7 linked regions of the Macaca mulatta genome follow. The protein of the gene in region 3 interacts with the protein of the main gene of each other region in a biochemical or structural test. Links are inferred from orthologs where the notes say so. Each region holds a gene or a part of one and is shown on either strand. Other genes may lie near its edges. The genes, in order: NQO1, HSP90AA1, STUB1, UBE2W, MAPT, JOSD2 and ATXN3.

What was found.
Region 1: of the proteins of STUB1 (region 3) and NQO1, one has a biochemical effect on the other in vitro, tested with the Homo sapiens proteins (2 studies listed by BioGRID). The link is inferred for Macaca mulatta from reciprocal best matches to the Homo sapiens genes STUB1 and NQO1.
Region 2: the proteins of STUB1 (region 3) and HSP90AA1 form a complex in vitro, tested with the Homo sapiens proteins (14 studies listed by BioGRID and IntAct, with this or other methods). The link is inferred for Macaca mulatta from reciprocal best matches to the Homo sapiens genes STUB1 and HSP90AA1.
Region 4: the proteins of STUB1 (region 3) and UBE2W form a complex in vitro, tested with the Homo sapiens proteins (7 studies listed by BioGRID, with this or other methods). The link is inferred for Macaca mulatta from reciprocal best matches to the Homo sapiens genes STUB1 and UBE2W.
Region 5: of the proteins of STUB1 (region 3) and MAPT, one has a biochemical effect on the other in vitro, tested with the Homo sapiens proteins (11 studies listed by BioGRID, with this or other methods). The link is inferred for Macaca mulatta from reciprocal best matches to the Homo sapiens genes STUB1 and MAPT.
Region 6: the proteins of STUB1 (region 3) and JOSD2 form a complex in vitro, tested with the Homo sapiens proteins (2 studies listed by BioGRID, with this or other methods). The link is inferred for Macaca mulatta from reciprocal best matches to the Homo sapiens genes STUB1 and JOSD2.
Region 7: of the proteins of STUB1 (region 3) and ATXN3, one has a biochemical effect on the other in vitro, tested with the Homo sapiens proteins (6 studies listed by BioGRID, with this or other methods). The link is inferred for Macaca mulatta from reciprocal best matches to the Homo sapiens genes STUB1 and ATXN3.

Annotation. Positions count from the first base shown.
Region 1 is NC_133425.1:65,348,621-65,352,897, forward strand, and holds the start of NQO1 (NAD(P)H dehydrogenase [quinone] 1), read right to left. Parts: upstream 2,801-4,277; 5' UTR 2,661-2,800; coding exon 2,654-2,660; intron 1-2,653. UniProt on the Homo sapiens protein: Flavin-containing quinone reductase that catalyzes two-electron reduction of quinones to hydroquinones using either NADH or NADPH as electron donors.
Region 2 is NC_133412.1:175,437,709-175,441,917, reverse strand, and holds the start of HSP90AA1 (heat shock protein HSP 90-alpha), read left to right. Parts: upstream 1-1,409; 5' UTR 1,410-1,468; intron 1,469-2,066; coding exon 2,067-2,228; intron 2,229-2,317; coding exon 2,318-2,684; intron 2,685-3,004; coding exon 3,005-3,138; intron 3,139-3,432; coding exon 3,433-3,753; intron 3,754-3,868; coding exon 3,869-4,034; intron 4,035-4,209. UniProt on the Homo sapiens protein: Molecular chaperone that promotes the maturation, structural maintenance and proper regulation of specific target proteins involved for instance in cell cycle control and signal transduction.
Region 3 is NC_133425.1:1,895,195-1,899,361, reverse strand, and holds the start of STUB1 (E3 ubiquitin-protein ligase CHIP), read right to left. Parts: upstream 2,801-4,167; coding exon 2,642-2,800; intron 2,254-2,641; exon of another isoform or gene 2,165-2,253; coding exon 1,966-2,164; intron 1,879-1,965; coding exon 1,713-1,878; intron 1,521-1,712; coding exon 1,433-1,520; intron 1,294-1,432; coding exon 1,237-1,293; intron 1,150-1,236; coding exon 1,033-1,149; coding exon of another isoform or gene 952-1,032; coding exon 826-951; 3' UTR 519-825; coding exon of another isoform or gene 438-518; intron 363-437; 3' UTR 360-362; coding exon of another isoform or gene 225-359; intron 146-224; coding exon of another isoform or gene 78-145; intron 1-77. Other genes in the region: uncharacterized protein LOC106994901, read left to right, coding at 2,799-3,165, 3,207-3,331, 3,447-3,644, 3,893-4,027, 4,108-4,167. UniProt on the Homo sapiens protein: E3 ubiquitin-protein ligase which targets misfolded chaperone substrates towards proteasomal degradation.
Region 4 is NC_133413.1:84,450,388-84,454,687, forward strand, and holds the start of UBE2W (ubiquitin-conjugating enzyme E2 W), read right to left. Parts: upstream 2,801-4,300; coding exon 2,786-2,800; exon of another isoform or gene 1,516-2,785; intron 1-1,515. UniProt on the Homo sapiens protein: Accepts ubiquitin from the E1 complex and catalyzes its covalent attachment to other proteins.
Region 5 is NC_133421.1:70,887,857-70,891,356, reverse strand, and holds part of MAPT (microtubule-associated protein tau), read right to left. Parts: intron 2,996-3,500; coding exon 2,940-2,995; intron 480-2,939; coding exon 282-479; intron 1-281. UniProt on the Homo sapiens protein: Promotes microtubule assembly and stability, and might be involved in the establishment and maintenance of neuronal polarity.
Region 6 is NC_133424.1:62,898,753-62,902,911, forward strand, and holds the start of JOSD2 (josephin-2), read right to left. Parts: upstream 2,801-4,159; 5' UTR 2,643-2,800; intron 2,604-2,642; exon of another isoform or gene 2,473-2,603; intron 2,359-2,472; exon of another isoform or gene 2,236-2,358; intron 1,618-2,235; 5' UTR 1,601-1,617; coding exon 1,455-1,600; intron 1-1,454. Other genes in the region: ASPDH (aspartate dehydrogenase domain-containing protein), read right to left, coding at 2,899-2,942, 3,332-3,486, 3,555-3,775, 3,857-4,006, 4,123-4,159. UniProt on the Homo sapiens protein: Cleaves 'Lys-63'-linked poly-ubiquitin chains, and with lesser efficiency 'Lys-48'-linked poly-ubiquitin chains (in vitro). May act as a deubiquitinating enzyme.
Region 7 is NC_133412.1:165,351,482-165,355,482, forward strand, and holds the start of ATXN3 (ataxin-3), read right to left. Parts: upstream 2,801-4,001; 5' UTR 2,789-2,800; coding exon 2,765-2,788; intron 1-2,764. UniProt on the Homo sapiens protein: Deubiquitinating enzyme involved in protein homeostasis maintenance, transcription, cytoskeleton regulation, myogenesis and degradation of misfolded chaperone substrates.

The sequences.
Region 1 (4,277 bases), about 63 Mb from region 3:
CACCACTGCACTCCAGCCTGGGCAGCAGAGCAAGCCTCTGTCTCAAACAAACAAACAGACAGATGGTTGTGAATAGGCAATTAACAGAAAAGAAGTTTTCTGGGCCTGGAGGGTTCATTTTCCCTTCCTGCCACTTAACTAGCTGAGCAACATGACCTGGGAGGAGTTACACTACTAGAGTTTACCCTGAGAGAGGCCACAGGATGCACACACAGATAACCTCTTCAGGGTAGAGTGGCATTAGTGTGTTAGGAGAGGTAAGGGACAAAGTTCAACAGAGGGCTGGGCGCGGTGGCTCATGCCTGTAACCGCAGCACTTTGGGAGGCCGAGGCGGGTGGATCACTTGAGGTCAGGAGCTAGAGACCAGCCTGACCAACATGGTGAAACCCCCGTCTCTACTAAATATACAAAAATTAGCTGGGCATGGTGGCGTGCACCTGTAATCCTAGCTACTGGGGAGGCTGCAGCACAAGAATCGCTTGAACCTGGGAAGTGCACACCACTGCACTACAGTCTGGACAACAGAGTGAGACTCTGTCTCAAAAAAAACTTCCACAGAGGAAAACTTCAGGACTTCGGGGCTGGCCCGTTAGGAAAGGCCCTCAGAGGAGCTTGCCATTTGAACTGAATCTTGGTCTTGAACTCCTGGCCTCAAGCAGTCCTCCTGCCTCAGCCTCCCAAAAGTGCTGGGGTTACAGGTATGAGCCACCACACCCAGCCAAAAACAATATTTTTTAGCCAGGTTTCAAGTTCTGCTTTGACCAAAAAAATTAGCTGAGTGTGGTGGCACACACCTGTAGTCCCAGCTACTCAGGGGGCAAAGATGGGACTATCACTTGAGCCCAGGAGGTCAAGGCTGAAGTGAGCCCTGATCATGCCACTGCACTCCAGCCTGGGCAGCAGAGCAAGACCCTGTCTCAAAAAGAAAAAAAGAAGTATGTTAAAGGTAAGACTTTGTATCAGTTTCATGCATTCTCCTTCTGCCTTCTCTCTTCACTTGAGTGCTCCAGGGAACATGAGTGCGAATCAGACACATCTATTAGTTGCAAACAAAAAACCTGGATGCTTTAGTGAACCTCAAGATTTGGTTAGCCGGGTACAGCTAAAACTAATGATACAAGATCCAAGTCTTCCTTTTTTCCCTCATTACCAGCTCTCTTTTTTGTGTTTAAGCTACGCATAAATACAGAACATTCTGTAAGAGTGGAAAGTCAGGAAACAGTTCCTGCCCTAGTATTGGAGGAGAGGGTGCCTGTGCCTCGGGGAGCTTAAGAAAGAAATACAAAGGAAATAGCAACCACCGTGTATGCGGCAAGCCTCTCAGCTGTAAGAATCTATTCCCTGCTGTCTCTGCCAGCAACTCATTCTGGGCTACCAATCCCCTGCTTAGTCCCTTTCTCAGAGATTCTGATAATTTCAGTCGGTCAATTGCAAGGGCAATCTCTTCCTCCACTCACTTTGACCAAGATGGGCTTCTGTGTGTGCAGGTGCATTTTTAGAGGCAGGACCAGGTTCACAGGGAAAGAAATTACAAAACGCAGGACTGTGCCCCAGATGAGGCAACAGCTTTCTAAATCTTAGCGCTGTCCAGTCTCAGAGTGAGATTATTTGGGAAATAGCTCTCAGTCCCTGCAGTTGTCTCAGCTGGTTATTTATGCCTTGGGTGGAGCTGGGTTAACCTCTAAGTTCCCCTAGGGTTGATGGCCGAGTGGGGAGGCTCTATCACTGAAATGGACCCAATACTAGAAATGGATCCAGAACGACCTGATCAGGTTTGCCTAATCCAAGGGCCTCAATGGAAAATACCTCCCAAGGCCAGGCACGGCTGCTCACGTCAGTAATCCCAGCACTTGGGGAGGACGAGGTGGGCGGATCACCTGAGGTCGGGAGTTTGAGACCACGCTGGCCAACATGGCGAAACCCCGTCTCTACTAAAAATATTAAAACTAGCTATGCATGGTGGCGCACTCCTGTAATCCCAGCTACTCGGGAGGCTGAGATGGGAGAATCGCTTGAACCCGAGAGGCGGAAGTTGCGGTGAGCTGAGATAGCACCATTGCACTCCAGCCTGGGCGACAAGAGCAAAGCTCAGTCTCAAACAAAACAAAACAATACAAAACAAAACAACAAAACCTGAGCCTGGCAGCTTGGAGCCGGTTCTGGTCTCTGTCAGACTAAAGGTATCGGTTTCCTCCACTCCTGTCCACCAATCACCAGATATTCTCATTTTCTTCAGAAGCTCGGAATCCACATTTTTAAGTGAAATCACCCATTTTAATGTTTGCAACTTAATTCAAATTGGTTTAAATACTATAGCCCGAAAGAGGTATGGGCTGTGACCGTAAGCCTGATTTGGCCTCCAGCGGCCAGTTTCTGACCCCAGTTTTGGAGGGAATTCCTGCGTCCAAGGTCAGGTTTCTCCTAAATGCCCACTGGAGTTCGTGGGGGTGGAGTGAGGAAGGATCCACAACTCCGGATACAAACAGAAGCTCTCCTTCTCCCGGAGTCCCATCAAGGCTCATCCCAGGACCCTAATCTCTTCCCTTTGTGGGTTTTGACTCAAGGAACAAAACTCAGGGCCAAACCCATACAACCTCCTCCACAGGCACCAGGACTCCGGAGACCAAGCGCCTCGCCCTTTCCAGCACTCACCGACCATGGCGCTGGTGCAGTCCAGGGCGCTGATTGGCTGGACTCGTGCTTGCCGGGGCGACCCTGGCCGGGACTAGGCTCTCACTGGGCCGGGCGACTCCAGCGGCAACCTTGCAGGAGTCGTGTGTGTGGTGCGCGGTGCAGTCTCTCTCATATATCCTGCGCGGCTCATTGGAGTTGGACGTCAACAAGGGCGGGACCCAACGCCTGTATCCTGAGGTGCTGGGCTAGAGGATGCCAAGGCTGCAGCTCCAGGAAGGGAGGGAGCCTGGGGGGTGAAGGAGGAGCCCCTCCACTCCCACCCGCCCCGCCTGAGCAACTGGTGGAAGTCAAGAAAAGTCTCTGGGGGCTGGAAGAGGGGTTCGTGGGGGTGTGTGACAGAGGCCTCAAAAATCTGGCTGGAGGGGCTAAGGCAAGCCCATCTGCGCACTGTGCCCTGAGGTGCAAGGGGATGCAGGGTGGAAGTTGTTCCCAAGAGAGTCCAGGGATCGAGTGGGCCTGCCCTTTGAGCCTTGGCACGAAGTGGAGCAGAAAAAAAGCCGGATGCAGATTACTGTGGTGCCCCAGGCTCAGATTCTGCTGAGTCACTGTGACTGTGGATTTGGAAGGCTGAGAGCACTGGGGAGACATGTTCCGTGGAGATGAATTTGTTTCTTCCTTTGCAAGATTCAGATTCTGCACTTGGGGGCCCATACAACACACTTCCCTGGGTGCATGCCGCTGCACCACCCCTGCTCCTCAAGGCAGGTAATGGGGGAACTAATTGGTTTTGTTTCCCATGAGCTAAAGCAAGGCTGGTGTGGAGATAGCAGTTATAGGGAGGCATATTAAAGAAGAGCCAAAACGGAGCCAGGCGCGGTGGCTCATGCCTATAATCCCAGCACTTTGGGAGGCTGAGGTGGGCGGATCACCTGAGGTCATGAGTTCGAGACCAGCCTGGCCAACCTGGGGAAACCCTGTCTGTACTAAAAATACAAAAATTAGCCGGGCATGATGGCGGGCGCCTGTAGTCCCAGCTACTCGGGAGGCAGAGGCGGGAGAATCGCTTGAACCCAGGAGGCGGAGGTTGCAGTGGATCGAGATCGAGCCACTGCACTCCCACCTGGGTGACAAAGCGAGACTCCGTCTCCAAAAAAAAATCTCTATAAAGAAAAAGTTAAAGATGTCAATGAAGGAAAAAGAACTAGAGCTTTAAAGTGGTAATGAACCATCACAAGAATTACAGATGGGGAAGGTGAGGATGACACAGGGCCCTTCCATTGTCCCTCCAGTGCAAAAGTTAAGGAGGTACCAGAATACTGGTGTCCAACTCCCGACTTTAGGTGATCCTAGCAGCTCAGCCTCCCAAAGTGCTGGGATTACAGGCATGAGCCACCGCGCCGGGCCCCATCATGACATTTTTGCATTCATTTTGATGCAACAAGAGAGGACTGTGTATTTACGAATTATTTTGGGAGGCCTAGGCAGGAGGATCACTTGAGCCCAGGAGTTTGCAATAAGCCTGAGCAACAAAGTGAGACCCCATCTGACAAAATAGTATAAAAGGACCTTTTAAAAAAGGGCTAGGCAGCCCTGTCCAATAGAACTTTTCCTATCTGTGCTGCCCAAGTAAGGTAGCCGCAAG
Region 2 (4,209 bases), on a different chromosome or scaffold from region 3:
AGTCTGAAAACCCCTGCTCCTGAGTAAGTTGGTTTCCCTAGAGACCAGGAAGCGGAGGTAGTTCCGTCGTTTGTTTACACGGTAAGGAGCTTCCAGATTATTCCGAGGACCTGGCTATGAGTTTAGGCAGGAGGAGGCCCAATCATGGGAGGCGCCAGAGAGGAAGAGGACATGGACGAGGCATGGGAGCCAAGTCTAAGGAACCCCAACACCTCTAAGGTTCTCATAGCTGGCCTTGACCAAAATATCTGAAAATTCTCATGTAGAAACTGGTTCTTCCAGCCTGAGCAACATGGTGAAACCCCAACTATACAAATAAATACAAAAACTAGCCGGGTGTGGTGTCCGCGCTTGTGGTCCTCCGCCCGCGCTCGTCCCAGTTACTCGGAAAGCTGAAGTAGGAGGATCACCTGAGCCCGGGAGGTCGAAGCTGCGGTGAGCCAAGATTGTGCCACAGCACCCCAGCCTGGGCGACAGAGGGACAGCCTGTCCAAAAACAAAAAAACACCAAACCTGTCTTTTAGGGAAGGTTAATCACCAAAATGTCAAGTGTTAGATACTTAATTTGGAGACCTCAAATCGATCGGCAAAACGATGGGCTTTTAAAAAGCATGCCGGGTGTAGCTGGGTAAGCATGAATTTATTCACCAAGGGCCCGATTCCCAAGCTAAGGGACCCTGAAGTGTGAAGGACATGGCTTCCGGGGAACCCAAAGGTAGGGAGCGCTCCTGAGCCAGCAGTGGGTCTGGAGACTCCCCGAGCGCGCAGGCCGCGGGACGGCGTCCCCTGCGCGCAGCAGCTAGAAGCCAACAGCCCAAAGGCCCCCAGGGAGCAGAGCCCCGCGATCCCGGCGCCGCCTGCGGCTGGATTTTTTGGCAGCGGGCGCGCCGTCCGTGAGGATGACGGCTCCGGTAGTCTCCCGGGCGTGCGAGACCCGGGGCGCTCCCCGTCCACGCACGGCCCTCCCTCCAGGCGCGCCTCCCGCCCCAGCCCCGCATTCTGCGCAGCCCGGGTGACCAAACTACACCTCACTTCAAAGGCCCCCACGCCCGGGCGTGCCCTCCGCCCGCGCTCGGCAGGTGGGAGTGCAGGGAGGAGGGCGCGGGCGGCCCCAGAAGGCGCCCGGACCTTCCCGAGAATTCCAGGCCGCGCAGGCGCATTGAGGTCGGCGCGGGGGCGTGCGAGAGGCGCGGGGCGGTGATTGAGGGAAGGTTTCCCGGGCTGGGCCATGAGCAGGGCCTGCGCGCGCCAGCGGGAGGGGCGGGCCACGGCGAGGGCGCAGGCGCAGGCGCGCGGCCGCGGCGGCGGTTGGGGAGGGTTCTTCCGGAAGGTTCGGGAGGCTTCTGGAAAAAGCGCCGCGCGCTGGGCGGGCCCGTCGCTATATAAGGCAGGCGCGGGGGCGGCGCGTCAGTTGCTTCAGCGTCTTGGTGCTGCTGTGCCGTGGAACGTTTGCAGCCTTTTAGCCAAGGTGTGAGGGGCGGTTGTGGGGGCCTGTGGAGGTGGATTGGGGAGTGGGGGCGGTTGGCGCGGAGCGGAGGCTGTGGGGGCCGAACGGGAGCCCTGAACCCGCCAGGGCCGCTCTCCCGGGAGGCCGCGCTGCCTATTCCGGAGGCCGTGGGCCCGCTGCTGTCTCCGCAGCCCGCCTCAGGAATGGGCTGGGCGGCTGCTCCCCGAGTCTCCGCGGCAGCCCCGGAGCTGGCGCCGCACGCGAGCAGAGCGGCCCTTTGGCTGGGGGCCCCCCGGGCGGCCCAGCTGGGGCGCAGGCGGAGGAGGCCGCCCTGGCGGAGCCGCGGCCCGCGCGGGAGGGCACACGGGGTGTCGGTTGGGGACCGCGGCGCGGGACTGGGCCGGGCCTGCAGTGGCCTCCCGGAAGCGCGCACACGCTCGTGGTAGTTACCGCGCTCCGAAATGAGGTCATCCTTTGTCAGCCGCCCTTCTATTTTCGGTTTACTTAAACTTCGCAAATCTGCAATCCGGCTTTAAAAATATTGGGAGGACGCGATGGAATCTCGTGTTGCCCCTGTAGACGCCCTGCAGGGTTTTAAACCGGCGCGGTGTCGTTCCAGATGCCTGAGGAAACGCAGACCCAGGACCAACCGATGGAGGAGGAGGAGGTTGAGACGTTCGCCTTTCAGGCAGAAATTGCCCAGTTGATGTCATTGATTATCAATACTTTTTATTCGAACAAAGAGATCTTTCTAAGAGAGCTAATTTCAAATTCATCAGATGTAAGTCGTTTATTAACCCAGAATAGGATTTTGGTTTCAATATGAACTTCTTGGGGGCTGTATGCTTAATTAATATTTTGTGTTAATAGGCATTGGACAAAATCCGCTATGAGAGCTTGACGGATCCCAGTAAATTAGACTCTGGGAAAGAGCTGCATATTAACCTGATACCAAATAAACAAGATCGAACCCTCACTATTGTGGATACTGGAATTGGGATGACCAAGGCTGACTTGATCAATAACCTTGGTACTATCGCCAAGTCTGGGACCAAAGCGTTCATGGAAGCTTTGCAGGCTGGTGCAGATATCTCCATGATTGGCCAGTTCGGTGTTGGTTTTTATTCTGCTTATTTGGTTGCTGAGAAAGTAACTGTGATCACCAAACATAACGATGATGAGCAGTACGCCTGGGAGTCCTCAGCAGGGGGATCATTTACAGTGAGGACAGACACAGGTAGGTACCTGAACACTCACTGGTTAAGTCAGTGGCGGAATGGTGGGGTGTTGCAACCCTTGGACCCCTGGGGATGCGGCGAAGTTCACAGAAAGTGTGTTTACCCAAGGATCAGGAACAAGCTAGAGCTCTGAATTAGTGTGTAATGGCATGACTTGGTGATTACTTCTTTTGGGCAAGGCACTTAGATCTGCTGTGGGAGCCTTTGCATCTGTAGTAAGGGCAAACCTCGCTTCATAGACACGTTATAAGGGTTAAGCATGGCGTTGAGCACTAAATTGAATGTATTATTGAGTCAATTTTCCTTATTTCTCTTGCAGGTGAACCTATGGGTCGTGGAACAAAGGTTATCCTACACCTGAAAGAAGACCAAACTGAGTACTTGGAGGAACGAAGAATAAAGGAGATTGTGAAGAAACATTCTCAGTTTATTGGATATCCCATTACTCTTTTTGTAAGTTTCTACATAATTGCAGAGTGAATTACTGTCTGTAGGTGACTGGGGTGACTGTACTACATCCTTAGTTCCTAGGTCTGTTGAACTAGTTTGAAGCCTGGGGAACCTAAGCTCTACTAACTGTGAAGGTTCCTCGGGTTATTAAGTAGATATATCAAATATTGATGAGAAGCTGCCTGGCTGCTTCTCATCCTCGGTAATTTAGGCTTTGGCCTTAGGTTGAAAGTAGTGGGGCAGCGCTATGACTTAGTTCTAGAGTGCAGCAGTGATGCGATTTCATGTCTTTTGAAGGTGGAGAAGGAACGTGATAAAGAAGTCAGCGATGATGAGGCTGAAGAAAAAGAAGACAAAGAAGAAGAAAAAGAAAAAGAAGAGAAAGAGTCTGAAGACAAACCTGAAATTGAAGATGTTGGTTCTGATGAGGAAGAAGAAGAAAAGAAGGATGGTGACAAGAAGAAGAAAAAGAAGATTAAGGAGAAGTACATCGATCAAGAAGAACTCAACAAAACAAAGCCCATCTGGACCAGAAATCCCGACGATATTACTAATGAGGAGTATGGAGAATTCTACAAGAGCTTGACCAATGACTGGGAAGATCACTTGGCAGTGAAGGTGAGTGAGGGACTGATGGATGCTTCAAGCTTGTCTTTAGATTATCATCCCACCACCCCAAATATCTGCTATAATGCATTGTTCATTGATACTTAGTGTGTTTGTTCTATTACAGCATTTTTCAGTTGAAGGGCAGTTGGAATTCAGAGCCCTTCTATTTGTCCCACGACGTGCTCCTTTTGACCTGTTTGAAAACAGAAAGAAAAAGAACAACATCAAATTGTATGTACGCAGAGTTTTCATCATGGATAACTGTGAGGAGCTAATCCCTGAATATCTGAGTAAGTATAGATAGGAAAAATAATCACTGTCACTGATTAAAGAAATACTTCTGGCTGGGCATGGTGGCTCACACCTGTAATCCTAGCAGTTTGGGAACCCGGGGTGTGCGGATCACTTGAGGTCAGGAGTTCAAGACAAGCCTGGCCAACATGGTGAAACTCCATCTCTCCTGAA
Region 3 (4,167 bases):
CTCAGGACTGGGGAGGAGTGAGGTTTCTGAGGGTGGGTACAAAATGGCTTGGTCACCAGGTGCTCATAACCCCACAGGAGCTGGCTCGGGGGTGCCCTTCCACTGGCATGGGCCCGGGTACTCGGAGGTGATCTACGGCCGTAAGGTCAGCACAGGGTTGGGGTTGAGCTTTGGGGCTCGGTGACCAAAACAGGCAAGGGTGACGCTGCTGCTCCTGCCCCCAGCGCTGGTTCCTCTACCCACCTGAGAAGACACCAGAGTTCCACCCCAACAAGACCACGCTGGCCTGGCTCCGGGACACATATCCAGCCCTGCCACCGTCTGCACGGCCCCTGGAGTGTACCATCCGGGCTGGTGAGGTCAGTGGCTGGCAGGAGAGGGCCAGGCCAGGCCAGAGGCCCCCAGCTAATCTGTGCTGCACCCCTTTTCTCCACCAGGTGCTGTACTTCCCTGACCGCTGGTGGCATGCCACACTCAACCTTGACACCAGCGTCTTCATCTCCACCTTCCTCGGCTAGCCAAAGCAGCTGGCAGGCATGCCTGCCACACACCAGCACGTCCCATCTCGTGCTCATGGATTTTATTACACAGACAGTGGCGGCAGTGGCTTCAGCCCAGCCCACCCTCACCTGCTTTTCCAGCCCACAAAGGAGGACAATCACGGCCCAGCAAGAGCTATGCTGAGAGGGGGAATAGTCCAGAGCCCAACAGCAGAACTTGAACTTGGAAGGGGCCAGGGTGGCCAGCAACACAAACTATGTACAGGGGTGGAGGGCTTCCGCCCAGGGCTCTCCTGGACCAGGATGCTGGGCAGGGCAAGGCATCTCAGTAGTCCTCCACCCAGCCATTCTCAGAGATGAATGCGTCAATGACTTCCTTCATGGCCAGGTTGGGGATGAGCTGTTCCTGGGTCAGGGGGCTCCGGGTCACGGGGTCAAAATGACCCACGCGCTGCAGTGACAAGAAGGGCAGAGGGCAGTCAGTGGGCCCAGGACCATGCTGCTGGCCCTGCTCCCCCAGCCGCAGCCTCACCTGCAGGTGCTCCTCGATGTCCTTGCGGTCGTAGGTGATGCCACTGGGCGTGATGCACGGCTCCCGCATCAGCTCAAAGCTGATCTTACCACACAGGTAGTCGGGGATGTCACGCTTCTGTGGCACAGGGGCACACGATCAGAGGCTGGGAAGGGGCACTGCTCCAGCACCTGCCACCCACCGCAGCAAGTGACAGACACTCACCTTCCTCTTCTCGTCCACCTGAGAGAAGAGCTCGTCCATGTCTGCCATGTACTTGTCCTGTGAAGAGTTGAGCACTGCACTTGTGCGGGACACCCCACCTCCCTCCTCCATGGGGCACAGACCCAACACAAGGCGGGGATGCTCCCACGCCAGGTGCACACACACAGACCCACATGTGGGAGGGGGGCACCCTCACATGCTTAGCCTCAATGCAGGCCTGCTGGGCCCGGACGTGGCTGTCGTCCTCATCACCCTCGTGGTTCCGCTGGCACTCTTCCAGCTCCCTGGGGGTTGACCAGGAGCCAGTAAGAGATGGACCTGGCCAGATGTCTGACCACACCCCAACCTCAGGGCTAACATTCATGCTTCTTCCCCACGTTTTCTGCTCGCCAGTGAAACCTTCAATAAACGCTCATGTTGGTAGTTGGTGATTCAGAATTATCCCAAGACAGGGCGACCTGGGGTGAGGGTCCCACCTCTCACGCTCCGCGGCAATGAGCCTGGAGAGGTAGGAGTGCAGCTCGCTCTCCTGGTGGATGCGCCGCTCCTCGATGCTATTCCAGCGCTTCTTCTTCGCGATTCGAAGAGCGCTGGGGATGTCGTCCCCGAAGTTCAGCCGCTGCTCCTTGGCCAGGCTGTAAGCTGGGGAACGGGGGCTTCAGGTCACTCTCTGGCCAGTCCACCCGCCTGGCCCCAGGGGCCCCACAACCGGGCAGCTTGTCAGCCAACCTCGCTGCAGATTGGCGATGGCCTCATCATAGCTCTCCATCTCCAGCTGGCACTGCCCCAGGAAGAAGTGCGCCTTCACAGACTGCCCGTCCAGTTCCAGGGCGCGCCGGCAGTCGGCCAGGGCCTGCTCGTGCTGCTGCATCTTCAGGTAGCACAGGGCACGGTTGGTGTAATATACGGCCACCAGCGGGTTCCGGGTCTAGGGACCAAGGCCGGGCCAGCCGCATGAGGGTGTAGGCTCAGCGCGCCCCCTCTGTCCCACGGCCCGTCCCAGCTTCTGCGCTCTGGCTAGAATCAAGAAACTAGGCTTCTCAGTCGTCAAAGCCCCTGGATCCAAGGATCTGCAGACAGTGGAGTACTGGCTGAGCCTATCCGCTTGACTCCACTTGGTTTTGTAAAGTTTTCCAAATCTTTGGAGAGTCCAGGCTTTGGACCTGGGATCCTCAAGGGGCGAGGGCCCCTGCCCTCCCCCCGACCCGGCCGGCCTCCATCCAGCATCCCACCCTCGTTCTCCGACACCCGGCGCTGGGCTCGGGAACCACGGCTGGGCTTTAGGAGCCCAGGACATGCCCCGCAGAGGAACCAGACCCTCGGTGGGGCCAGCCGGGCACGGGCCCGGCCCTCCCCGGCGCCGCCGCCGCCGCCGCCGCCGCCCTTCCCGCGCGAGCGCACTCACGATCGCGCGGCCGTAGCAGGCCGCCGCCTCCGGGTACTTTCGGCCCACGAACAGACGGTTGCCCTGCTCCTTGAGCTCCTGCGCACTCGGGCTCTTCTCGGGGCTTCCGCCGCCAGCGCCCAGCCGCGCGCCGCCCTCCTTCTCCTCCTTGCCCTTCATGGCGCCGCGCGGCACGGCCTGGGCTGCGCTCCCAAGCTCCGCGCCTGGCGGCCCAGCGCCTGCAGCCCGAGCCCCGCAGCCCGAACCCGCGATCCTCTCGGGCCCGGCCCAGCTCCACCGCCGGAACTTCCGGCCGGGGGCGGGACCAGCGGGGACGCACGGGTGGGGGCGAGTGGGGCCGCGCGTGCGCCCAATCAGCCTGGACGGGGACGCTAGGCCCGCGGCGTCGGGGGCTGGGAGGAACACTCCGGTTCCCTCGCTCGGCGCTCTTAAGGGTCGGCGTTCGCGGAGGCCCTGGCCCGCCCTGCTGAGGCCTCTTCGGAACCGGCCTCGGCGGCGACCGCCACACACATTCGACTTTCCCAGTGAGATGCCTTGGTTCGCTGAGGGCGCACTCCCCCAACAGCCTGTCCCGACCACCTGGCGTTCCGCCCCCGCCGCAACGCGCAGAGACCCCTCCCCAAGCAGCGGGCCCCATCCAGAGGCCCTTCCCCCGGCAGCCAGCCCCGCCCCCAGCAGCCCGCCCCATCGGCAGACGCCCCGCCCCCAACAGGCCGCCCCACCCAGAGGCCCCGCCCCCAGCAGCCAGCCCCTACCCAGAAGCCCCGCCCCCGGCAGCCGGCCCCGCCCCTCCGCGTGAACATAGTGGCTTCCCGCGCTGTTGGGTGTAAGGACCCCAGTCGCTGGGCCGCCATTCCGGAGCGCCATCGAGAGGTCCTACGGGCGCGCGCGGACCCCCGAGTGCGGCTGGAAGCCCTGGGCCGTTGGTAGAGTGGAAGGGGATAAAGGGATCGGTGGGCGAGCGCCCCCTGTGGCCGGACCTCCCCTCACCGCCCTTCCCCAGGTATCGGGAGGAGTTGCCAGCGGCCATCAGGGGCAGAGCGGAGAGCATGTGACAGGGAGCTGGAGCGGCTGCTGGCCTGGAAGCTGGCGGCGAGGGGCGGCCCGCCTCGAGGGCGGGGCCTCCGTAGGGCGGGTCTTCACCGGGGCGTGGCATCGGCGGGGCGGGGCCTCCAGAGCGGGTCTTCGTGGGGGCGGGGCCTCCCTGTGGGTCCACCACCCCGGGCACCCTGACCTGGCTTCTCACAGCAGCTGGTGACCACCAATCCCCCTGAGCTGGCTGTGCACTGTTCGACCACCACCTTCTGCCTCCTGCCAGATGTGGGCGCCGCGGTCACCCAGCTGTCTGCCCTCTGCGGTGTGGACCCACCACAGTCACAGCCTCAGGTGAGTTGGGTGGGCACGACTTGGGTACATAAGCGTCCTTGTCTGTGAAGCAGACAGTCTGGGCCCTTGTGTGTCTCTAGGACCAGGAGTCGGAGCCAGAGCTTGTCCTGATGGGGTGTCTGGCTGCTTCTCCTCGCTGC
Region 4 (4,300 bases), on a different chromosome or scaffold from region 3:
CCATCTCAACACAAAAAACAAAAAACAATTAACTTAAATATGCTGTTATTATCTGTCTCTTCTTACCAGACTATTTATTATTAAATCCATGAGGGCAAAAATCTTGTTCGCTTTTGTTCATTGCTATAACCGCGGCACCTAGATAAGTGTCTGACACACAGAGGGCCCCCAAAAGGTAACTGGCTCAGTGATTAAACAAATTTGATAATTTGATTGAAGATTTATGTATAATCTAGTTGTCTTAAAAGAGCCAGATGTTGCCATTAAGATAGGATATAAATTCTGTACAACAAAGATACAGAATAACCACACAGAAAGTAGGGCTGTCTTTCAAAAAGCCTGACTTATACATATTTAAATATTCTTAAAGATACTACCAGAAAATCTGCACTAGATATTTTAAAATACAAACAAAAGGAAAAGACTTTTTACTTTAATAAAAAGAGTTAAGCATCCATTTTCCATTCCTCTAACCAGAAAACACAGAAGAATAGAGAGTGATAAGATTTAGATGGAATAAGGTGAAGGAAAAACTTCAAAGAGTGGTAAGACAGTCTGAGGTAATACTTAGGGCACAGAAAAATGCACTATTGCACTATCAATCAAGTATTTGTTTCCATTGCTTAAGACATCATGTAGGCCGGGCACGGTGGCTCACACCTGTAATCCCAGCACTTTGGGAGGCTGAAGTGGGCGGATCACCTGAGGTCGGGGGTTCAAGTCCAGCTTGACCAACATGGAGAAACTCCTGTCTCTACTAAAAATACAAAATTAGCTGGGCGTGATGGCCAATGCCTGTAATCCCAGCCACTCGGGAGGCTGAGGCAGGAGAATCACTTGAACCCGGGAGGCGGAGGCTGCGGTGAGCCGAGATCGCCCCCACTGCACTCCAGCCTGGACAACAAGAGCTAAACTCCGTCTCAAAAAAAAAAAAAAAAAAAAAAAAAAAAAGACACCATGTAAAGTTCAACATTACCAACCTTTCTCTTACAAACAAATCTGCCTTTTCCAGATACTAAATCTAACCAGATGGCACACTACGTTCTCTTGTCAAATATTATCACGAGTGTTGTGGATTTTAATCTTAATTTTTACTCTCAAATAATGTTTTAATCTTAATACAGATAATCTTAAACTTGTCATAAAAAATGTTTTAATCTTAACACAGATAAAAATCTTTAAGTGGTCATGTAGCCTATTGCATCTACTGTTCAACTAGCATTCCACAGTTCCTTTTCTTGGCCTCAAATGACGAAACTTCTCTAACGTCTCTGGGGGACTAGTGTAAAGTATAATGTTTCCTGAAATTGTTCCTGTTTTTTTCCCTGCACCATTCGTGACATCTCTTCAACTAGAAATGTTACATAAAACTTTTCTGTTCTGCAGGCAAGTCCAGAGGGAGAAGCAAAAGTAAAGAGAATATTGTAAGGAAAACAGGTTGAAAGGGGAATAACATAAAAGCACAGGAGTAAATGTGAAGCAAAGATATATTTGTACAAAAGAGGAAGAAGTTGCAGAAAAGGGAAGAAAAACACTTTTAGCAGAGAAAAGAAAAAAAAATGGAGGAGGAACAGAGACTTGCTTCTTTCAGAAACAAAAGCAAAAAACACTTCTAAGAAAACGTGGTCTCTTTACCCAAGGGGATATTATTAAAACGCTAAAGAGTATTCAGCTGACACTCCTATTGAGTGTTCTACTTTCTCTTCCAATGTCTTTGATACCGCTAGTCTTCACCTATGAATTAAATGCAGGCTATAGATAACGCAGCCAATCTCTACAAAACTACAATTGTGGTTGCCATCTTTGCCTGAAAACAAAAACACAAAAAACCCGCAACTCCCTGAATTCGGGAAAAAGGAGTAAATTAAGTTGGAAAGCCAGAAAACCACGCCTTGCTAAGTCGGGTGGATGTGGCACAGGTTAACAAACGCCTCCTACCAAACTAAGGTTCCACTAAAGGTCTGCGAATAAGGGCAAAGAGATGTATAGCCTTATCGCGACCGCAAGGGTGGGGCCTTGTAGGGGGAAACAAAATAAAGGGCGAGCTATCCCGAAAGGTTTCAGGGGGCTGAGGACTTGGCTCTCGGGAGATCGCCCATCAGGCAGTGGACTCGGGGCAGCTTCGAGAGGAGGAGACACTGGACTGCTGAAGTAATGTCCGCGAGAATGCCGAGGCTGATGGAAAGAGCGGATACCCACGGGCACAGGATTAAGAGTCAAAGGGAAGAAGAGAGAGACGGGGCCAAGCAGTCTGGGGGGCCCGGCGTGGGAGGCCGGAGCAGAGGCCGCTAAGCGCCGTCCGCAGCCAGTCGCCTTCTCCGGAGACGCCTTCTCGGCTCCCCCACACTCAGCCCCTCGCCGCCCCTGCCCCGGCAACAACCGCGGGCGCAGCTGTTTCCGTCGGGCCAGGGACAGCGGGGGTAAAGGCAACCCTGGGACTGGCGGGCAGCAGACTGGCAGTGGCCGTGTGTGTGTGTGTGTGTGCGCGGGGAGCCGATTCTGAGGCTGCCAACACCAGACTTCGCCCTTTCTCCCCCAAGCCTCCTTTATCACCCAACTTCCCGGCCGGCTGGTGTCCGCTTCGACCGACGGATACCGCACCCCCCCAACGCCTCTCGCCGCCTCTTACCCCTCCCCCGACGCCCTGAGCTGAAGGAAAACAAGCCACCCGGGCCGATCCCGAACCCGCCCGGGTGTCCCCGAATCGCGGACGCCACCCCCGCCCGAACGCTGGCACTCTCTCGGCGGCTCCCTGGCCCGCCCAGATGCAGCAAACTCCTCTCACCTGCATTGACGCCATGATGGAACCATCCCCCCAAGACCGGCGAGGCCAGAGACGCAGGGGGAGGAGCTGCCGTGCTCGCGTCACGCCGCGGGGGCTCAACATCCCGGGCGCGGAGGCGGGGCCTACGATGGGAAGGTGATGGCGCGAGGGGATTGGCTGGCGCGCAGGGCGGACGGGAGGAGGGGCTAGGGGGCGGGGCGAGGACGTGGTAAATGGCGCTCCGAGTACCTTCGGTCTCAGTCCGGTTCGCCGCTCCCGCGTCGGTCTTCCGTTTACTCTGGTTACTGAGGAGACACGGCTCCAGTTTTGACCCGGCTACGGTTGTTTTCTTCTTGTGTACCGCGTAATCCTGATGCCGTCCGGATCAGCTCAGATTTTTTTCTATTTCGTTTTGGTTTTCCAAACACAGCTGTGCGGTTCACAGATTTTTCTCTTGGGATGTGTTTTCCATACCGTCAAGCCCACTCTGAGAGCCTTGGGGCCCCATGAAACTTCCCGCGCAGCTGCTTTCTGGTCCTTGTAGACCTGGAAAGCTTCTTGTATTCTTAATCTGGGGAAGAGAGACATAGGTTTCCTTGTACAACAGGATGAGGATTAAAGAGCAAAACGACACTGATATTTTAAAGGCGAGGGTATTTAGATTTGTGGAGCTGAAACTTGCCTGAAAGGGGAGAGAAAATTTGGAAGTTTGTTGTGTACAGTTTCTGCCCCTTACCCCAGCCCTTCAGTTTTAAACTTCGCATGTATCAACAGTAGTTACGGTTGTTGCGGCAGTCTAAATTTGATTATCAGAATTGACCCTAGGCATGAATTTTTTAAAATATACTGAATTTTTAAAAATATACCAGTGTTGTGTTATATACACTTAGACCATTATGTCCAGACTTCTCTTAAGCCTATTTCGTGGTGGGCAGTTTTGTGGTCAGTTAGGGATGAACTTGGGTAGGGAAAGCTGAGCATACATAATTTATTTTAGGAATGCACCAGTTCTGCCAACATTTATCAGAAGTCACGTTTTAAAAAAGCTATTCTGGAACTGAAGATGTCATTGGTTTATAAGAGGAAAATGGAAGCCAAAAGCTTGCACCTCATGCTCTATCTTTAAAAATTAAGGTGGCAGACACAATGAGTAGAAGGCTTTTATGTTACCAGAATGAAGGCTTAAAATCTGTCATTTTATTGACTCGGCTTTCTTTTTAGAAATTTCTTTAAGATATAAAAGCAATGCAGAATATCACTGTTTCACACTCTTAAAATAGATTACGTTCTCTGGAACTTCTCTAATCTGAAATGTGTTCAAAAAGGAAAAAGATCTTTAAAATACGCCAGTTAGTCTATGGCATAATATTAAACACTACTCATCACTAGAGAAGTTACGGTGGTATACCCTCCCCTCTCTCAGATGTCCACCCTAATGCCAGAAATGAGCGGAGTTTCCCTTTGTTGTGCAAAATGACTGTGTCCTTGAGGGATGTTTGGATGCTCTTGGTAAACCGGAATCAACCAGAAGCATAT
Region 5 (3,500 bases), on a different chromosome or scaffold from region 3:
TGTGAGCCACCGCGCCCAGCCTTAGAGTAGCAATTTCGAAACCAAGGTCCCACCAGGTGTCTGAGGGGCTGCTGCTATGAGAGCCTGTGGGGTGCTGAAAGGTACGGCCCCCAGCTCTCTTTTCCTCTTTGCCCAGAATTCTAACTATTTACACGGTGCTTCTGTGTCAGAGCTCATTTGAAGAAAGGTCTTTGAGGCTAAATAAACAAAAAACAAAAAACACCCCACATTTGCAAACCACAGCAGAGCAGCCTGGTTCTTTTCAAAGGTGGTTTCCTTACCTTGAGTTTCATCTCCTTTGCTCCAGAACTGCCAGTTCGGGGAGTGACAGAAGAGACGTATTTAGGAGAGGAAGGTGGCTCTGGGCACACGGCAGGGCTGGAGGGTTGGATCAGAGGGTCTGAGCTACCAGGAGTGGGGTGTTTGGGGCTAAGGCAAGGCCTATTTTTCAAGGTTTTAGCAGAGGAACGTGTGGATGTCTTAAACATAAACATAAATAAAATCAAAATAAAAGTCAGCACATGGAGGAGGAAAACAAACTGAAAAAAGGACAGTAACTAAAAATAAATAAGGCAGGTAATGGTTGAAAGCAGTGATCTCCAGGCTGTTTGAATCAGGTACCCTTAACATCCCATCTGATCAGTAAGAACAGGAAAGTGACCATCCTCCCCAGTCATACTTCTTATATGACCAACTTACTCAACTCACATCTGACAAAGCTTTTAGAAGAGGACATGACAAAGGAATGGAAGTTCTAGTATGTTCTTTCTCCAGCCTGTTAGATGTGATTGTGCCCCTGAATTTGGAGACCACTGGTGTAAGGGTGCTTCGTAAGTTGATGGAGATCATCAAGGTACATGAATCTTAGGATGTTACTCAAGAAAATGTCGCCAAGTGTGTCATGGGTCTGAAGGGCCTTACTTTCTACTCAATTCCAGGCAAGGGGCTTTTTTGCCTGCCCATTAACCCATGGCCTCTTCCACCACACTGATAGACTCAATCAGGAGTGTGCCCACCCCACGTTGGAAAGATTCTATCTTAGGTTATGCCCACCCCCACCACACATGTGCTTTCTGATTAAAGTCTCAAATCAAACTAATATTAACACTATTTGGTGAATCCTAATCTGGCCAATGTTAACTCTTTTTTTGTCATTGTTGGTTTTAGAGATAGGGTCTCCCTCTGTTGCCCTGGCTGGAGTGCAGTGGTGCCATCACGGCTCACTGCAGCCTCTACCTTTTGGGCTCAAGTGATCCTCCCACCTCTGCCTGGCCAATTAAATTTTCGTTTTAGAGATGGGGTCTTGCTATGTTGCCCAGGCTGGTCTAGAACTCTTGGGCTCGGGAGGTCCTCCCACCTTAGCCTCCCAAAGTGCTGGGATTACAGGCATGAGCCACTGTGCCAAGCCTCCAATGTTTTCTCTTTTTCAGTTTGCCAGTGTAAACAACACTGCTAACTTTTGAACCCATTCCACATGAGGAAGCAGCCAGAGACACGTGTCTGCATACCTGTCCCTGTGGAGGCGGCGGGGGGTGGGGGGACCTGGAACCGGGATGTGGGATAGATGGTGACTGACACCCACAGTTCATCCTACCCATGGGGGATTTTGATGGGTGGGCATGGCCCCAGAGGAGAAGGGGATGTTTGGAGGGGAAGAGGTAGCGCTCTCAGAAAACAAAGTGGGGAGGCTAAGCCTCAAAGTGTTTCCGAGAGCGAGTCAGCTCAGAGAAGGGTCCTGACCCAGACTTCATTGGGCTTCTTGGGGATGTTATCTTATTGCTTTCCAACTCCCCATGGAAGCGGCCGAGACCCTCTGTGTGGCCAGGCTTGGTAAGGAGAACCCAGGAGATGAAGCAGTAGTGGGAGAGGAGGGACACAGGCTGGGGCCCTGGGGCTGATGACAAGAAAGCAAAGCTGGGGTGGGGGTATTGATGACCCCTCCTTCCTCGCTGCACATGGCCCCTCTCCACCAGCAGCACTCCCCACCTGGCCGAGGTCCACGGTAATAGATCTTTCCCCTCCCTAGAATCTAGGCAACTCCAGGGCAGGGATGTCGTACCCATGTGTGCTGCATGAATGAATGAACGAATGCATGCATGCATGAGGCTGGTATTCCCTGACCCCTGCCCCCGGCACTAAATGTGCACCATGATTGACAAGCAGCTGTCACTATCACTTCAGGGACCCAAAGGGCAGCTCTCCAAATTCCCGCAGGCCCTTCCGCTGCCTCACTAGGTGAGGCTGGGGAGCCCTGACTCTGCAGGCACTTCCGGGAGCAGCCCCCAACACACCAACACACCACCGAATGCTCAGAGCTATGTGGCAACTGGAGATGCCCTCTGGGCTCCAGGACTGATTAAAATTCAGCTGTTTCAGACAGAATTTATGCTGGAAATTTTAGATACCTTTAAGAAAAATAGGTCTTATCTAGAGCCATGGTGGGATTTTCCAGGAAAAACGCCACTGTGCAATTACGGGAGCATTTTCCCAGACACCAAGTCATTGAGGGAGTAAACGATGGGTGAAGTGAAATACTGAGAAGGATGGGCAAAGATCAGGGTGCAGTTTATGCAGTGAGCAGATGGCTTCATTTACTGTCCTGGGGTTGGTTTTCAAACACAACTTCATTTACTGTCCTGGGGTTGGTTTTCAAACACACCTTCATTTACTGTCAGGGTCTCACTGAAACTACACTAAGAAGGCTGGAATTAGCAGCATGACTTCATGAACCTGCCAACTTCTCTTCCCTGGGGTAAGTATCAAAACTAATAAATGCTGGACTTTTAAAAAGCCTGCCCCAAAATACAAAGCACTTTAAATGACAGCTGTGCTTTAGTGACAAATGCTCCCCACATTATATATGAGAATGAATCAGACATAAAGCACAGCTTCTCTGTAAACTGGACCAGCTGCAGAGTTCCGTGGCATCGTCAGCTTACCTTGGCTTTTTTGTCATCGCTTCCAGTCCCGTCTTTGCTTTTACTGACCATGCGAGCTGATAAAATATAAAATAAGAATGCTTGTCACACTCCATTTTCACTGTTCACAGAAACAGCCAGCTGTGGTGAAGTTGCATTTCTCTGGGATAGGTCCGTGTTTTGTTTAGTTGGGTCTGGTGGAAACCAGTTGGTTCTCTTCTCCCTTGAATGTGCTAGGTCTCACATTGTTAGTATCAGCATAGCACACTGGGGTCACTGATTAGAGCAACCTGGCAAGAGGGGGCAGCAGGCTGGCTGAGGGTGGGACCATGCAGAAGGGACGCAGCAGAAACTGTCACAGGGACATGATGACACGGAGGCTATCTAAGGAAGGTGCAGTCTCCCTAACCCACAGGCTCCTGCCCTGTTTCTGCCAGGGTCAGCCTCACCCCACTGGGACCAGCCCCACTCCACGGACAGGTGTTTTAAAAGCCTCAGGGCCATGGATATTGGTAGCTCAGTGAGGACCCAGCCTCCTGCAAGATCCAAGGACGGGGGTGGGTGAGTTGTCTCCACACTGCA
Region 6 (4,159 bases), on a different chromosome or scaffold from region 3:
CTTCCTGGCCCCCTGGCCCCAGCCACATCCCCGGTGCCCACCACCCCCCGCCCCACCCCTGCCAACCTTTCCTCCAGCTCTTCCCCTGCCCAGGAAGGCTCTTCCGCCTGCCACCACTTGTCTCTGGGCCCTGCCTCTGAACAGCTGCACCTCTGCTCCCTATCTGGGCCCTGGGCAGGCAGGGCATGGGAGGAAAAGGCTTGTGTGTGTGTGTGTTTCCCTCGCCACCCTCAGGCTGGCACTTGAGTCTGAGTCATCTCAGGGTCTCCAACATGGCTTTGGTATGAAAGAGCTGGTGGGTCCTTGTTCTGAACGATCGAGGGATGAATAAATACCATAATGATCAGTCTGAGGGGCTGGGACTCTCAGGATGTCCAGGAGCCAGAGGCGGCTTTCAGCAAGAGACAGAAGAGGCAGCCCACCTCCAGGTGTAGAAGACTCTCTAGGATCAGTGGGCACTGAAGGCAGGGACAGACTGGAGGCCACGGGCAGGTTGGGCAGGAGAGGATCAGGCCTGAGCTGGGGCCAGGGACGTGGGGACAGAGAGGAGGGAGTAAGAGATGATAAAGGATGGATTTTTGTTTGTTTGTTTGTTTGAGACAGAGTCTGGCTCTGTTGCCTGGCTCACTGAAACCTCCATCTCCCAGGTTCAAGCAGTTCTCCCACCTCAGCCTCCAGAGTAGCTGGGACTACAGACGTGTGCCACCATGCCCAGCTAATTTTTTTTTATTTTTTAGTAGAGACGGGGTTTTGCCCTGTTGGCCAGGCTGGTCTGGAACTCCTGACTTCAAGTGATCCACCTGCCTCGGCCTCCCAAAGTGTTGGGATTACAGACGTGAGCCACTGCGCCCGGCCAAGGAGCGAGGTTGGACATCGTGAATAGTGAAGAGGAACATTCCATGCTGGCAGAGAAGGAAGCCACACCAGGCAGAAAGAAGTACCTGGAAGCCCAGAGGCTGCACAGGAGGGCTCACGGGAGTGGAGAGTCTGGTTTGAGGGGGGCTGTGAGGGCTGAAGCTGCAGAGGCAGGCTCGGCCTCCGCTATCAGGAGGGCCCTGAGTAGGGTGGGGGTGTGTTTAGGATGGACTGGAGAGCTGTGACAGGGCCCAGATAAGAGATGCCTGAAACTGAGTGAGCCTGTAATCCCAGCTACTGGGGAGGCTGAGGTGTGAGGATCACAAGCTCAGGAGTTCAAGACCAGCCCGAGCAGCATAGCCAGACGTTGTCTCTAAAGAAAGAAAGGACCACCGGATTGGGGCCTGGCTGGGGCTGAGGCCACAAGGACAGGCAGGCACAGGAGGCAACATCTCCCCAGAGTCCCAGCGTCTGGCTTAGGCAAGTGAGCTGGGGACAGAAGAAAGCCCCCAGGCTCAGCGCCTGCTTGGTGGCGAGACCCAGGTGGGTCGCTCTGCCGGAGCCCTGCTGCTCCAGGGGCCGGGGTGGGTGACGGTCACCTCTTGCAGATCTCATCGGCAGCCTCCTGGCTAAAGAGCTGCTGCTGCAGAACGTTGTTGAGGGCGTGGACGGCACATAGCTCCAGGCGCTGCCGTTCGTGGTACACAGAGGGTGGGCTCGGCTGTGCTCCCGGGGCCTGGGACATGCCGTCCTCGGCTCCTGCTGGGGATTGGGAGGGGAAGAAGGTCCTCAGGGGCCCGGGATCTAGAGGTCCAACCTCCCAGCAGGCCTTTGGGGCATCGCCATTGATTGAGCTGGGGCTCCGGGCAGCCCGGGAGGGCACTGGGCCCCTGACCCCGCTCCCTGGGTCTCCTGACAGTACACGTCCCTCCATCCCCTCTTCCTATTCCTACGAAAAAGGCTGTCTCCTCTGCTCCCCTAGCAACAGAGAACCACCCCCACCAGGTCTCTAAGTAAAAGGGTGCCTATCATGGTCACCTAGCAACAGAGGAACCCGCCTCCCCTGTCCCTAGGTAACCGGGCGCTCTGTGGTTACCTAGCAACAGAGCCCCTTCCCCACGGCACTCGGTAACAAAGTCTGTCCTCCGAGCACCTAGCAATAAGAGAGTCTTCCTCCCCTGTCTCTAGGTGATAGGGTCCCCTCCGGTCTCCTAGCAACAGAAGACTACCCTTCCCCGGTCATGAAGCAGCGAGGCTCTCTGCTCTTGTCACCTGGCAACGGGGCCCCCTCCCCAGTCACTAAGCAACAGGAGTTCCTTTTCCTATACCCGGCAACCAGGCCCCTTCCCCGGACACCAAGGAATGGAGCCCTTCACCGACCCGCACCCCAACCACGGCGCTCGCCCTTTGCCTGGCAACGCCCCTCACCCCGCCTGCCTCTCCGCTCCACCGAGCCAAGGGCTTCCGCATCCCCTTCCTGGGTTGCGGCTCTGTGCTCCGAGTGCGGGGCGGGCAGCACCGCGCTGACTGGGCAGGCGGGACGGACTACAGCTCCCGGTGATCCCTGCGCGCCGGACTACGACTCCCGTGGGGCCCCGCGGGACCCCTCCTCCCCACCTAACGCCCGGGCCGCGCGGCCTTGAAGTCCGCCGTCGGGCCTAGAAAATGCTGCACTACAACTTCCGTCGGGCTCCGCAACAAGTCCCGGAAGTGTGCCTCAGATGCCCTTCCTTCGCGTACGGCCGCGCCCACTACCGCTCAGAGCTTCTAGGAAATATAGTGCGTACGCTCTCGCGATAGCTTCCCGGCGCCGCGCTCTCGTGGGAGGTCGCCCCCTGCGATGGCGTCATGCGCGGTGCGCAGACGCAGCGTGACGTCACACAAGGGAAACAGGGACCAGGGACGCCAGGCGGTGCAGGGGGAGACAGCGATGATCTTTACTGAGTCAGAAGGGAGATCCTGGGGAAGTGGGGCAAGGCAGGGGTGGGATAGTGGTAGTGAGAGGCCAGTAAGATGATCTCGTCTCGGGAGGGAGGAGGCTTCTCAGCAGAGATGGATCCCCGGCCTGGAGGGGAGCTGGCAGCAGACTGCGGGGAGAGGGGAATGAGCGAGTGAGACAGAGGAGAGATGAGGAGACAGACACCTGGGGGAGGCAATGGTGGGAGGAGGGGACAGGCCTTGGGGGCGGTGGAGGAAGACCCAGAGAGAGCGGGACAGAGCCCTGGGGGTGGACACAGACAGACAGAGAGAGTCCTCATCAGAGGCGGGCACAGAGACTCAGAGAGGGGACGCGGACAGAGATGGAGACATCTACGGTGCCAGGATTCAAAGTCGTGGACAGAGGTTAAGGAAATAAAGGTCAGAAATAAAGGTCAACAAATACATAACCAGAGCTGCAGAACTAGCGAGAGCCCGGGATCCCCAAGCTCTGCAGAACACAGGAGCCCAGGGCCGGGGGAGAGGGGCCTGGCCGCACCCAGGAGGCTCCGCCAGAAGGCCGTGACGGTGGCGGAGCCGGTTACCGCGCCTGGCTCGGCAGGGTTCTCTCTGTGGGTGTGCACAGCAAAGCTTCGGCCCCTGGGGCCCGGGTGTCCGCTCAGCTCTACATCCACCACGTGCATGTCCGTGAGGCTGGGACAAGTGGGGCGGTCAGTGTGGTTAGCCTGGACTCAGCCCAACACCCTGCTCACTCTGCTCACCTGAGATCAGCCACAAGCACACCAGTCACCCCATCGAAGCCCAGGCTGGGGGCAGCCAGGGCAGCCGCCGCCATGGTGTTGGAATTTTGGGGGGCAAAGGGGCAGAGCCCACGGACAGGGCCTTCGTAGAGCACAGTGCGAGGCCCGGTGCTGTGGGCTGCAGCCAGGGGTCCCTCGAGCCGGAAGCCATCGGGGTGTGTGGCCATGGTGACACGAAGGCTCTGGAAGCAAGAGCCCGGGTTAGGGGGAGTGGGGTCTTTGCAGGCCTCCCCTGGTTCCTGGGGAGCCCAGCAGGCCCTCACCCGGAGGCCCCCAGCTGCATCCAATCTCGTGATGTCCTCGGTACCCCACAGGGCCCCTCGGGCCACAAACACGGCATGGTTCCAGTGCTGTGAGGCCTCCAAGAGCTGCCGCTCTGTGGTCTGGTCACTTAGAGCTGAGGGGGACCCCACCTGGGGTGGATGAAGGAGGAGAGGGTTGAGGTCAGGGAAGGATATCCACTTTAGGGTGGGGTGAGACCAAGACACAAGGGGTAGGGCTCTGTGTGAATGGTTTGGGTGGGGCTTACCAGGAGATTGGCATGGCGCAGGATTTGTGCCCCAGAT
Region 7 (4,001 bases), on a different chromosome or scaffold from region 3:
GCCTATACACATGCTGATAATTCAGAGGGACTCTTTTTTTTTTCTTTTCTTTTCTTTTTTTAGACAGAGTCTCGCTTTGTTGCCCAGGCTGGAGTGAAGTGGTGCAGTCTCAGCTCACTGCAACCTCTGCCTCTTGGGTTCAAGCTATTCTCCTGCCTCAGCCTCCTGAGTACCTGGGATTACAGGCACCTGCCACCACACCTGGCTAATTTTTTGTATTTTTAGTAGAGACGTGGTTTCACCATGTTGGCCAGGCTGGTCTCAAACTCCTGACCTTGTGATCCACCCACCTGGGCCTCCCAAAGCGCTGGTGTGAGCCACCGCACCCGGACTAAGAGGGACTTCTTTCGGGTAAGTAGATTTTCGCTAGGCTAGCACCCAGCTTTTATTGATCCCATGGTTCAGTAGAAATGCGTCCCAACTAGGTAACAATCAATATTGTTAAAAATCTTGTCTGATTCTCAGGAAGTAGTGTGGAACATGTTTAAGGCCTTCCATGTTGAAATCTGGTCCCACACCAAAGCCTTTGAAAATTAATAACAAAAATATGGCCGGGTGCAGTGGCTCACGCCTGTAATCCCAGCACTTTGGGAGGCCGAGGCGAGTGGATCGCCTGAGGTCAGGAGTTGGAGACCAGCCTGGCCAACAGGGTGAAACCCTGTCTCTACTAAAAATACAAAAATTAGCTGGGCGTGGTGGTGGGCACCTGTAATCTCAGCTACTAGCGAGACTGAGGCAGGAGAATAGCTTGAACAGGGAGGCAGAGGTTGCAGTGAGCCAGGATCGCGCCATTGCACTCTAGCCTGGGTGACAAGAGCAAAACTCGATCTCAAAAAAAAAATGTTTTTAAGAAAGTACATGTGTATTTTTCACACACTTTACTCAGCCAAGCAACTAAATCTCTATTGTCTATGATTTATAAATCATGTCAATCAAGTCAAAAAATCAGTGACAACTATATGACTGAGGCCTTCCTCCCCCACTGTAAATCTGCCTATTTCAAAAGTTTCTGAGATGTTTTCTACAATGAAAAGCATTGTACTTAACAATTTGTTCCAGGCACAGTGGCTCACGCCTGTAATCACAGCACTTCGAGAGGCTGAGGTGGGAGAATCACCTGAGTCCAGGAGTTCTAGACCAGCCTGGGCAACACAGCGAGACCCCTGTCTCTCCAAAAACATTAGCTGGCCCTGGCGATATACACCTGTAGTCCCAGCTACTCTGGAGGCGGAGGAGGGAGGATCGCTTGTGCCTAGGGAGTCAAGGCTGCAGTGAGCCATGATCTCTCCACTGCACACCTGCCTGGGTGACAGAATGAGATGCCATCTTTAAAATAAAAATTAAAAAAAAGATTTATACTACAGATTTACATCTGGTAAATGTATTCTTTTGTCTTTGCTTTATTTGTTGTGTGTGTGTGAATTTTATTTTATTTTATTTTATTTTATTTTATTTTTTTTGAGACGGAGTCTCGCTCTGTCGCCCAAGCTGGAGTGCAGTGGCGCTATCCTGGCTCACTGCAAGCTCCGCCTCCCGGGTTCACGCCATTCTCCTGCCTCAGCCTCCCGAGTAGCTGGAACTACAGGCGCCCGCCACCGCGCCCGGCTCATTTTTTGTATTTTTTTTAGTAGAGACGGGGTTTCACCATGGTCTCGATCTCCTGACCTTGTGATCCGCCCGCCTCGGCCTCCCAAAGTGCTGGGATTACAGGCGTGAGCCACCGCGTCCGGCCGTGTGTGTGAATTTTAAATGTCTGGGATAAACGATCATTTATAAGCATTTAATAAAACAAAAACCCTTTGCTCCTCCTATTAAATAATAGCCTTACCAGCAACTCTTTCCAAACATGATACTATTACGAAACAAGATATCATGTGCCAAAGTTGTCCTGGGGAAGGCTTCACTCACATACAAATGGATGGATAATAGCATGTGAGAAACGAGGAGTTTCTCCACATGTCACAAACAGTATCTTCAAGTGCATGGTCACTGAAGAGTTAAAGTGACAGCAGGCTAGGCAGACCACAACAAAATCATTCCAGTCCACTCCTAATACCTAAAAACAAAGCTGGCTGCCTGCTCCGGAAAGATGAGAGTACCAAAAGAAACCAAACCCAAACATCCCGTAATAAAAACTCGTGACGACTTCCCTGTTTAGGGGCACAACGGGTTTCCTACTTCACTTCCTAAGTGTCAGGCCCTACAGTGGGCGAGCCAAGGTCTCCTCCCTCGGGAGGCTCGCGGACCTGGTGCAGGGGAAAAAACATGAACAAGACCTCAAAGATCTAAATGTAGGGAAGACTCCAATATAGAATTGAGCAGTCTGGAGAAAGAAAAGTTAATTCTGCCAGGAGTAGGGTAGGAGGGGTCGAGGGAGGTGTCCCAGAGGTGACTGTAGCTAGACCCTAGGGAGAGGGAAGGATTGGGGAGGGGTGAAGGAATCCTCCGAAAAGCTATGGAAAGTGACTTAGAAAGGAAGAAGCAAATCCACTGGGCGCCACCGCGCTCCCGTGTCCCGAGACGCCCCCGGCCCCGCCCATACTCCCTCCCGGCTCCCAGGGCGGGGGCCGCGGGGGAAGTAGGAGCGTAGGTGATGCTCCCCTCCCCGAGCCGAAGAGGCGGGGGGTTGCGGCGTCGCCCCTCGCCCGGCGAGATCGGCATGGGGGCGACTCGGACCCCACCCAGCCCTCCGGGAGGCTGTGATGCCGCGCTCCACGCCCGCCACCGCGCGGCAGACAGCTCCCCACCGCACGCGGACACTCACTTTCTCGTGGAAGATGGACTCCATGTTTATTTGTCTGGAGCCAACGGCCCCCACACCGAACCACCCCCTCCAGCTCCGCCCCCTGTCCCTCCCCTCCGCCCACCCCGCCCCGCCCTGGTCCCCCGCCCACGCGCCGCACGCAGGCCAATCACCCGCGAGGATGCGAGTCACGTGAAGCGAAGAGCGAGTGAACGCCGGGGACACGTGACCTTGGTAGCGCGTCCTCCTAGTTTCTGTTAGAGGGCCTTCTGGGGGATGCTACATCGCCACCTGCTGTCTGGAGGATCTTCTCCGCTTCCCACCCATTTCTATGGGTTCTTAGGTTTCTGGGGGGAGGTTTGGACCACTCACCTGGGTTCGATACTCTTTTTGTTTTCCACTTTGTACTTTCTACTGTGTTCATATAACTATTTACTTTCTTTCTCCTCCTCCTCCACTGAAAATTTAGTAAGAAAAAGCCATCATTACATTCTCCCAAAACCTAGCACTTGTATAAAAATGATAGCTAGGCCGGACGCGGTACCTCATGCCTGTAATCCCAGCACTTTGGGAGGCCGAGGCGGGCGAATCAACTGAGGTCGAGAGTTTGAGATCAGCCTGACCAACATGGAGAAACCCCGTCTCTACTAAAAATGCAAAATTAGCTGGGCGTGGTGGCGCATACCTCTAATCCCAGGTACTTGGGAGGCTGAGGCAGGAGAATAGCTTGAACCCGGGAGGCGGAGGTTGCAGTGAGCCGAGATGGTGCCATTGCACTCTAGCCTGGACAACAAAAGCGAAACTCCGTCCCCAAGCCCCCAAAAAAGGAAAAAAGTGATAGTTAATATTTATATAAGGCTTTCTATGAGCTAGGCCCTTTTCTAAATGCTTTGCATATATTATCAAATTTAATACAGCAAACTTTGATGTAGGTGTTGATGCTATTCATACACATGAGGAAACCGAGGCACGGAGAGGTTAAGAACAGCACAATGTCCAAGGTCAGATGGTAAGTTGCCTTGCCAGGATTCAAATCCAAGTGACTTGTTACCACTGTAGGTGTTCGGACCCTTTAGAGGGAACTTAGAAGTCTCATAAATTGTGTGGGAGACGGGGAGGTAGCAGCGGTTTGATGAAGCTTGAATGGAAGGATAGGTGCAGATCTTGCACCTTGAAACCAGATTAAGGTGTACTTTTTTTTTTTTTTTTTTTTTTTTTTGAGATGGACCTCTCTCTGTCCCCCAGGCTGGAGTGCAGT